Linked DNA regions of Canis lupus familiaris. The protein of the gene in region 1 interacts with the protein of each later gene in a biochemical or structural test. Links are inferred from orthologs where the notes say so. Each region holds a gene or a part of one and is shown on either strand. Other genes may lie near its edges.

What was found.
Region 2: the proteins of FGF9 (region 1) and FGFR1 interact in a biophysical measurement, tested with the Homo sapiens proteins (2 studies listed by BioGRID and IntAct, with this or other methods). The link is inferred for Canis lupus familiaris from reciprocal best matches to the Homo sapiens genes FGF9 and FGFR1.
Region 3: the proteins of FGF9 (region 1) and FGFR3 form a complex in vitro, tested with the Homo sapiens proteins (3 studies listed by BioGRID and IntAct, with this or other methods). The link is inferred for Canis lupus familiaris from reciprocal best matches to the Homo sapiens genes FGF9 and FGFR3.

Annotation. Positions count from the first base shown.
Region 1 is NC_049246.1:16,712,121-16,714,802, reverse strand, and holds part of FGF9 (fibroblast growth factor 9), read left to right. Parts: intron 1-1,382; coding exon 1,383-1,628; 3' UTR 1,629-2,682.
Region 2 is NC_049237.1:27,802,016-27,805,667, reverse strand, and holds part of FGFR1 (fibroblast growth factor receptor 1), read right to left. Parts: intron 3,476-3,652; coding exon 3,303-3,475; intron 334-3,302; coding exon 210-333; intron 1-209. UniProt on the Homo sapiens protein: Tyrosine-protein kinase that acts as a cell-surface receptor for fibroblast growth factors and plays an essential role in the regulation of embryonic development, cell proliferation, differentiation and migration.
Region 3 is NC_049224.1:62,845,615-62,849,266, forward strand, and holds part of FGFR3 (fibroblast growth factor receptor 3), read right to left. Parts: intron 2,775-3,652; coding exon 2,602-2,774; intron 2,526-2,601; coding exon 2,402-2,525; intron 2,325-2,401; coding exon 2,134-2,324; intron 1,205-2,133; coding exon 1,054-1,204; intron 326-1,053; coding exon of another isoform or gene 181-325; intron 1-180.

The DNA.
Region 1 (2,682 bases):
TGCCGTCTGTGAACTCAGTGCACTAAATCGTGCATGTGTGTGCATGTAAGAAGGACATCTATATTTTGGTGATGTCTAGTTTGCTGTCCTCTGCGTCTGAATGTCAGAAAGGGAAGAATATCAAAGATAAGGATCTGTGCTGCTCTTTTAAGTCTGCACACGGATGTGTGTGGTTTTTGGTTTGTTTTCTTATTCATGTAAGGTGCCAGATGGGTGAGAGCAAGAGAAATACTTTTAAAAGGTCATTTTGTGTTAATTTTTAAAAAGTGCCATCATGGAAGGTATTGATTTGAAAAGTTGCAGTCCGGTGGTGAGAGGGGCAAAGAGGCCATTCAATCCTGTTGGCCCGTTTCTCCAGGGGACAACTTTTGTGACTGGGTTTTGGGATGTGAGGCAGAGGTTTCTGGTCATTATGACTGCTCACGAGACACCTGGCTGCAGGAGCTCTGGGTTGTGGGGATAAGTGGGACCCAGAGTTTCATAAGGCTCAGGTGGAGGGAGAGGTGCACTTCATCTGTGAAAATGGGGAACCTTTTAACTTTGGGAATGTGGGGAAAAGTACAGTTTTTCTGTTGGTAGATGTGTGCCTGAGAATGTGGCTTTTTTAAGTTGGGGGGCTCTTTCTGTCTAAATTCAAGGGAGTAGGAGGGTTGCAACAATTGTTTTTACTTCTTTGTATCCAGGAAGACTCAGTCACATAGAAAGCATTCTATCTTGAATGTGAACCAGGGATTAACTGTATCAGAATTCCCCCCAGGGCCTGTTAAAAATGCATATTTCCAGACTTTCTGGATCCGAATTTTAAAGGATTGGAGATTGAACATTTGCATTTTAAAGAAGCAATGCAGGTGATTGTTCTGTAACCCTGAAGTTTGAAAAGCACTCTTAGAGTAGTAAGTAAACTCTACTGCTTCAGAGGGCAGGGGATTCTGACAACAGTGTGATTGTTGAGAATGTTGGGCAAGTACTTTGTAAAACATGTATTAAAGATGAGGCAGGTATTTGAACCTTTGGCTTCAGCTAAGGCTCTCCCTTGCAGGATGGTCACCAATCCAATTGCTGTAGTAAAAATGGGAACAACTCGAAGCATTGATCATCCTTTGTCTCTTTGTCTCTTTCAAATAATTGATGTATGAAAAGAAATCTAACCAGAAAATATTTGGAATCTTTTGCACTTCAGCCATTATGAAAAACAATTAAGTGTAGTTAAATTTATATAGCCAGGCACTTTTTTGGAAAATACATCCCAATGGTTAAACTGGGTTAAAATCAGTGTTTTCTCATCAGAGTGATATTATGTAGCCATTGAATGTTGCTTCAAATACAGAAAACAGCTCTTTTGCAAAATATTTATTTGTTTGCTTGTTTGTTTGTTTTAACAGGAAAAACTAACCCAAGAGTGTGTATTCAGAGAACAGTTTGAAGAAAACTGGTATAACACGTACTCTTCGAATCTATATAAACACGTGGACACTGGAAGGCGATACTATGTTGCATTAAATAAAGACGGGACCCCAAGAGAAGGAACGAGGACTAAACGGCACCAGAAATTCACCCATTTTTTACCTAGACCAGTGGACCCCGACAAAGTACCCGAACTATATAAGGATATTCTAAGCCAAAGTTGACAAAGACCATTTCTCCACTTGAGCCCTTAACAGAGTAACCACTATAAAGGTTTCACGCGGTGGGTTCTTATTGATTAGCTGTGTCATCACACCAGCTCCACTGTTGCCAAACTTTGCCGCATGCATTCTGTACGATGGAGGCTTGGAGGGGAACATGCTGATTTTGTTGTGCACTTACAGGCTTGTCCTCCTGGAGGGCCGCCGCCGCCCACTCGCTCCGGTCTATTGTGAGCCGAGGAGAGGGAGGCTGAGCGGGAGTGTGAGTGTGTGTGTGGATGGGTAGCAGGGGAGGTTGAAGAGAAGCAGAAGCAGAGAGGACAACGGCCTGATGCATGCTGGGATTTAGACGCGCTTTTACATTTTTGATCAATTGTCCTTCACCTTGTATCAGCACAGCTGCCATACTTCGACTCATCAGGATTCTGGCTGGTGGCCTGCGCGAGGGTACGCTGCATTTGCAAAGGCATGGAGGGTGCAGTCTTACTTACAAGACTTTTTCAGTTTAAGGCTCACTGGTGCCATCCCAGTGAATTTAAAGCAAAGACCTCTTAGTAATAAAAAAAAAAGTTAAATTTATTTATAGAAATTCCAAAGGCAACATTTTATTTATTTTATATATTTATTTATTATATAGAGTTTATTTTTAATGAAATATGTACAGGCCAGATAGGCATTTTGGAAGCTTTAGGCTCTGTAAGCATTAAATGGCAAAGTCCGCTACGAACCTGTGGTAAATTCATGCAAGTAAATATAACGGTGCATGGATAGGAGAAATCCTAATGACCCTAATGTACTAAAGGCGACAATCTCTTTTGTGCCCGTATTATTGTAAACTTATGCACATCATTCATGACACTGAGTATTCACTCTTCAGACTGCTTGTTTCATAGCTTATCCCAGAGGATTAAAGAGAAACTGGGTCTCAAACTTTTATTCTGTGTCTGTAATATTTCCTCTCTCATAAGTGACTTATTCCATCACTGTAACTTCACGGTTGGAAAATACAAGGGTTGGTATCTAGCCTACGTGTTTGAATCTCTTACAGAATATACCA
Region 2 (3,652 bases), on another chromosome or scaffold:
CACATTTCATGAGTCCTAATAGCGTCCAATCCTCTTAACTAAATGCACAAAACAGACACGAGACCTGCTTCAGGTGACAGTCCCATTAAATGCCCCTGCCAGCCTGACTCGACCCCTAAGGAAACCTGGATCCTGTGGCTGTTTTCTTTGCTCTAAGTCCTGCTCTCTTTGCTCTAAGCTCCTTTAACCCTGTTGCACTGCCTTCTCACCCACGACATCGAGCTGGTAGGTGTGGTTAATGCTGCCATATTCGTTCTCCACAATGCAGGTGTAGTTGCCCTTATCAGAAGGCACCACGGAGTCCATTATGATGCTCCAGGTGGCGTAACGGACCTGAGGGGAAACATGCCAGAGAGCTCCAATGAGGGTCTGAAGTTAAATGGAAGCCAGAGCCATGCAGAAGCATGGGTGCCCTGTGGCACTCACCCTCCAATCCCAGCCCAGAGCACATGGCCTGCATGGCACGGGAGCCAGGACTGGGCAGAGACTGCCACCCTGGTCCATGTTCACTGCAAGAACGCATCAGGCAGACTGGCAGATGGGGATAAAGCACTCTGGAGGTCTGCCTGCCACAGCGAGGGCCATCTGCGATCTGACCTATGTGACTCCTCCATTCTCCCAAATACACCGGGGCTTCTCCCTATTTGCGTGTTCACATCCTGAGTTGCAAAAGCTCCCTGGGAAGACTTCAGCTCTGTCTACCCCTGACCTCTTCTTTTAAAAACCATTTCCTCTGGCCCAACCCTGGGTCAGAATGGCTCTCACTGTCCCTCTGTGCCCCTGTTGATGTACAGATCATGGCCAGCCTTTTTTTTTTTTTTTTAAGATTTTATTTATTTATTGATGAGAGACACAGAGAGAGAGAGAGGCACAGACATAGGCAGAGGGAGAAGCAGTCTCCATGTGCAGGGAGCTCGATGTGGGACTCGATCCGGAGACTCCAGGATCACAGCCTGAGCCAAAGGCAAGACACTCAACCACTGAGCCACCCAGGCCTGCTTTTTATGACAAGGTTCAACGATGCCTGCCATCCTATTAGACTGGAAGTTCTTTGTGGGAAAGAACACTGCTTTGTACCACTCATGGCAGTGCCTTGCATACAGCAAGTGTTTGATCAGTTAATTTATAATGTTTCCCTATTTTTCCTGATCTCTGCTTTTCTTTTCTTTCTAAAGATTTTATTCTTTTAAGCAAGCTCTACACCCAACCTGGGGCTTGAACTCAGAGCCCTGTGACCACAGAGTTGCACGCTCTACCAGCTGAGCCAGCCATGTGCCCTGATCTCTGCTTTCCTTATACCAGATTAATGGGAAAAGAGCAGCTAGGTGAGATGGGATAGCAGAATGATCAGAGTTTAAAGAAAGGATTAGGATGAAGAAGTTCTTGCTAGAAACACAGATGGGCAAAGGACGCAGACAATTCACATGGCCGGAAACAGAAGTTGCTTATTAACATGAAAATTTGAAACCTGTTAGTAAGTAGAACAATGAACAAGAGAAGAGTGAGTTACTTCTGTCATCTATGAGAGTTGTTGGCTCAGGTATGGTGAGCTTGTCATCCTCATACTCGAGCCATGGGAAGATGAATTAATTTTCTTTTTGGGAAAGGAACTGTTACCACAATAAAATTAAAAAAATAAAATCACACCCCAGCTCATTACATCATCCTCCATCAAAGCAAGTATCACAAAAAATATTACATCTTCCTGATGTACTTGGAACTCTACTGCCCAGTACGCTTTCTGGGAAGACGTGTTCAAGAAATGTTCATGTGGCCAGCCCGGTGGCTCAGCGGTTTAGCACTGCCTTCAGCCTAGGGCCTGATCCTGGAGACCCAGGCTCCCTGTGTGGAGCCTGCTTCTTCCTTTGCTGGTGTCTCTGCCTCTCTCTGTGTCTCTCATGAATTAATAAATAAAATCTTAAAAAAAAAAGGTTCATGTAATAAAAAAATAAATGAATGAGTAAAATTACCTACTTACCAGGAGAGAGAAAGGTAACGGGAACTATGTATTAAGGGCCTAAAAAAAGGGGCGCCTGGGTGGCTCTGTTGATTAAGCATCTGCCTTCAGCTCAGGTCATAATCCTGGGGTCCTGGGATGGAGCTGAGCGTGGGGCTCAGAGGGCAGTGTGCTCCTCTCTCTCCCTCTCCCCTCCCCCACCATGCATGTTCTCACTCGTTCTGCTCTCTCTCTGAAATAAAGGAAAAATCTTTAAAAAGGGGAAGGTGCTTTAAAAAATGCTTATGCTTTGGTCTAGTAACTTCGCTTCAAGCCACCTGTCCTGGGAGAAGAACATTTAAAATCACCAGCATAGATTTGTGTTCAAAGATATTCGCCACAGGGACGCGTGGGTGGCTTAGCGGTTGGGTGCCTGCCTTCAGCTCAGGTCATGATTCTGGGATCCGGGATCGAGTCCCACATCGGGCTCCCTGTGAGGAGCCTGCTTCTCCCTATGCCTGTGTCTCTGCCCACCCCCCGCCCTCAGTCTGTGTCTCTCATGAATAAATAAATAAATCTTAAAAAAAAAAAAAAGATATTTGCCACAATAGTATTAGTAATAGTCAAAAACCAGAAAATGGCAAATATCACAAAACAGGTCATTAAACGAAACATTTTAATAATGAAATACTATATAGTCATGAAAAATTATCTCAAGCACATGGCAAAAGACTCATGTTATGTTAACAAGTGATAAATTATATACATTAATGTGATTACATAAGAACCACATACACAGAAAAAAAGACTCTTTTTCTTAAGAGAGAATGTATGAACATGTGAGGTGGGAGGGCAGAGGGAGAAAGAGAGAATTGTTAAGCAGGCTCCATGCCCAGTGCAGAGCCCAACGAGGGGCCTGATCTCACGACCTGAGCAGAAAGAGCTAGACGCTCAACTGACAGCCACCCAGGTGCTCCAAGACTGAAAAGACCTGAATATTTTATTTGCAGTTTTTTTGTATTTGAAATTTTTCTAAAGCACACTGCGTTTTTTAATTTTATTTTTTTTAAAGATTTTATTTATTTAATCATGAGAGACACAAAGAGAAAGGCAGAGACACAGGCAGAGGGAGAAGCAGGCTCCTCGTAGGGACCCCAACATAGGACTCCATCCCAAGACCCCAGGATCACAACCTGAGCCAAAGGCAGATGCTCAACCCCTGAGCCAGCCAGGCGTCTCTAAAGCGCATTGCTTTTATAGTTAGAAAGTATTACTTCAAACAATTAACAACATATAATAAGGAATTTCTAAGTAGCTTCTCCCCTTCCTCTTATACTCACTTTCACATACATACACACACACATACCTTATAGCCTCCAATCCTGTGGTCAGGTTTGAATTCTTTGCCATTTTTCAACCAGCGCAGCGTGGGGTTGGGAGTCCCACTGGAAGGGCATTTGAACTTCACGGTCTTGGCAGCCGGCACCGCGTGCAATTTCTTTTCCATCTTTTCTGGGGATGTCCAGTACGGAGCCACGGCTGCCCAGGGAAAGCCAAGAGAGACAGGCAGGGAACCAGTAAGGCTCAGGAGCAGGGGCCAGGCCAGGACCTGGAGGTGCCCCGCCTCCCTGCCCCACACCTGTGAACAATGCCTGCTCTACTCAGGGCACCCCAGCGATCCCACGGCTAAGCATCATGACCTCATGTGCCCTCTCC
Region 3 (3,652 bases), on another chromosome or scaffold:
CCAAGACACTGCATGTCAACTTTGCTCCCATATCAGCCACAGGGCCTGGCGCACGAGTTCTGTGGAGCAAGGTGGCCGTGAGCTGCAGGGCCCCCTGCCTGTCCCTGGCAGCCGTGGAGTGTCCCAAGCCAGCGACCCCAAGAGGACAGGAACAGAGCGAGCACCAGCAGGAGCCAGTACCTGGCAGCACCACCAGCCACGCAGAGTGATGGGAAAACCCGATAGAATTGCCCGCCAGACACGTGTACTCCCCCGCGTCCTCAAAGGTGACATTGCGTAAGGACAGAACCTCTAGCTCCTTGTCGGTGGTGTTAGCGCCCGCCGTCTATAAAGAGAGAACAGAGCGCGATAGGCGAGCGCCAGCACCTCCCACGGGCACCACAGCCAGAGTCCACATGGTGACGATCCCGCCAGGCTGCAAAGAAAACGCTGCCGCCGCCACCACCACCACCACTGCCATGACCACGGCCACGGCGCCAAGGGTCCTCTGCCTTGTGCGTCCACACAGAGCCCGAAGCCAGTCCCTCCACCGGCGAATCCTCTGTCCCAGGTGAGCGCCAGGCGTGCGGCCAGCAGCAGGCTGCGCAAACGCAGCATGCAGGGTTAGCGTGTACGCTGGGGGGGTGCAGGAGAATAGGTGAACTGATGGGTGGACAAACAGACCAATGGGAAGTGAGTAGGCAGCGGAGCCAGGGGCGGGAAAGGGAGAGAGAAAGATACACAGCACACCGGCGTGCACACACACCAACACGCACGCACACACACGGGGGTAGGGGCAGAAGCAGAAGCCTAGAGAGGTACAGCCCCCACTGGGGCTGAAGTCCTGGGGGTGTGTGTGGGAGCGCAGGCAGGGTCAGCACAGGCCACGGGGGCTGGAAGCAGGCGGTCACAGTGGAGACCAGAGACACCAGCATGGCAGAGGTGGCTCCATCGGGAGTGCAGTGCGAGCCACAGGGCGGGGAGCGAGCAGGATGGGGGCGTGCAGGTGGGCGCATGGCCAGGGCATCGGAGCTGGAGCTCGGCGTGCCAGACAGCATGGGACAGAGTTGTTACCTGCTTGGGGCCCGTGAACACGCAGCCAAAAGGCCTTCTCAGCCACGCCTATGAAATTGGAGGCTCGACAGAGGTACTCGCCCCCGTCACGCTCGGACACATTGGCCAGGCGGAGGCGTGCGTCGGCCTCCACACTCTCACTGATCCAGGACTGCGGGGACAAGAGACCCGGCTTAGGCGCGCCCTTGGCAGCCCGGCCGGGCACAGAGTGGCCATGCAGGAGCAGGCCCTGGTACAGACCCTGCCACGAGGGTGGCCCTCAGAGAATGGAGAAGGGGGTGTGGCTAGGCTATGCCAGGCAGGAAGGCTGCCTGGAGGAGACAACAGAAGCACCTTCCAGTGGCAGGCCATGGTTCCACAGGAGGCACCTTCTCCACGTGCACCCACTACAGCCCAGAGTGCAGCCCTGGCAGGCAGCCCTCCAAGAGGCCCTCCTGGGCTGGCATGCAGCCTGCCTGCCTCTGGGGTCCTGGATGGGCCTGCTATGTTGCTGCCTGGCTCACGGTAAGCATGTTCCCATGCATGTCGAGATCTCACCCGACCAGGCCACCATGGCCTCTCCAGTCGGGTCTGGACTCCTGCCCTCAGCCCAAGTGCCTGCTCCCCACCCCCACCAGCAACAGATGTTTCTCTTTGGGCTGAGAGTGTTGCAACCTTCCCAGCTCGGGTGGCCCCCGCCCCTCAGGCCGTGGGAACGAAGCTGAGGCCCTGCTGGCCCAAGCAAGGGCCGAGGGAGGCAGGCAGGCAGCAAGCCGTGCTCTGCACACCCGGACGGTGCCGGGTGAGGGTGGCACAAGGAGTGGCTGACAGCACCTCAGGCCCAGAATGTGCCACCTGCCTGCCCCAGGCCTGGAGCTTGAGCCCGGCCTAGGGCACCATCTGTAGGCCTGCCTCCAGGGCTAAGGCCAACCCTTAGAGCAGACAGGGAAACTGAGGACTCACAGCAGGGCCACATGCTCCAACCTCCCCTCCCCCACACCACCAGTGCTGAGCCGAGCCGGGCCTCCCTGTACCACTTCTCCCCTGATGGTGCGAGGCCTGGGTCCCATCTGCCGGCGCCCAGCCAGGGGTGCCACCCACCTTGAGCACAGTGACGTAGGGCGTACCGTCGGGCCCCACTTTGCTGCCGTTCACCTCCACATGCTTGAGCCACTGGATGTGGGGCTGGGCGTCGCTGTACACCTTGCAGTGGAACTCCACATCACTGCCCAGCACGGCCGTCTGGTTGGCCGGCAGCCCGGCCTGCAGGATGGGCCGGTGCGGGGAGCGCTCTGGGGGGGCAGATGGGGTCAGCGCTGCCCCTGGCTCTGCCCAGCCGCCAGCCCTTGCCCGCATTCTGGGGCCTCACCCAGCACGTCCAGAGTGTACGTCTGCCGGATGCTGCCAAACTTGTTCTCCACAACGCATGTGTAGTTCCCACGGTCCGAGGGCACCACGCTCTCCATGACCAGGCTCCACTGCTGATGTCGCAGCTGCAGGCGGGCGCGCGGGTGAGGGGACAGCAGGCCGAGGCCCCCACCGGCCAGCGCCACCCACCGCCAGGCCCACCTTGATGCCACCAATGCGATGCTCGCCTCGGAACTCCTTGCCGTTCTTCAGCCACGAGATGGACGGCGTGGGGTTGCCAGCGGCCGGGCAGCGGAAGCGCACAGTGTTGGCGGCCGGCACAGCCAGCAGCTTCTTGTCCATCCGCTCAGGCCGTGTCCAGTACGGAGCCCCTGCTGGCAGAGGGGCACATGGCAGCTAGCCCCCTGAGGGGAGCAGAGGCCCACCTGTCCCTTGCCTCTCCAGCCTCAGCATCCCCTCTGCCTCGATGGTCCCAGAATCACCTCCTGGAATTCTCAAGGCTAAGCCACATGGTCCCTCCCTGACTGCCTCCCCAGGAACCCACTCCCGACAAGAGGGCTCCCTGACCCGGGAGCCTTCAAGATACCAGGGTACCTCCCAGGGGAGGCCCATCTGGGGCAGGCCCACTGATGGAGACCCCACTGGCAGTGGAACCAGGTCAGCCTAGGGCACAGAGCCCAGCGGGATGGGCATGCCAGGCTCTGGAAGCAGTTTACCAGGATGTAAGACCCAACCACCCACAGAGCCCTGAGTCTTAAAGGTAGCCAGTGCCTGCCAGGATTCATGAGACCCCAAGTCACCCTCTAGCTCACAACAGGGCCTGATGGAAGCGGGAGGGGACGCGGCAACGAGGCTCAGATGTGGCATCTGGGAGGCCCTGACCTTTCCTGGTTTTCAGGGTTGAGCCCATCCCCACCCTAAGTGGTTTCCATCCTCCAATGCTGGGGTAAGGGGTGCATTCTTGTCATGGGAGGCTGGATGGGCATCCCCCAGGGCCGGGGAGAGACACCCCTCTCACCCCCACCCCTGCCCTGTTGCCTTCAACATAGCCATCTGGTGAAGAAGGGCACTGAGGCTCAGGCAGGGAGCCCTCTGGAGGCAGAGACCATGGTGACTCAGCACCCCTGACAATGCCTGTGGAGGGCAGCCCTGGCGTTGGCCCTTGGGGCCCCTGAGCCCACTGGATTGGGTTGGGGTGGGGGGGGGGGTACCAGCACTGCCCCATGTGGCCAGGGTGGTCGGGAGGACAGAG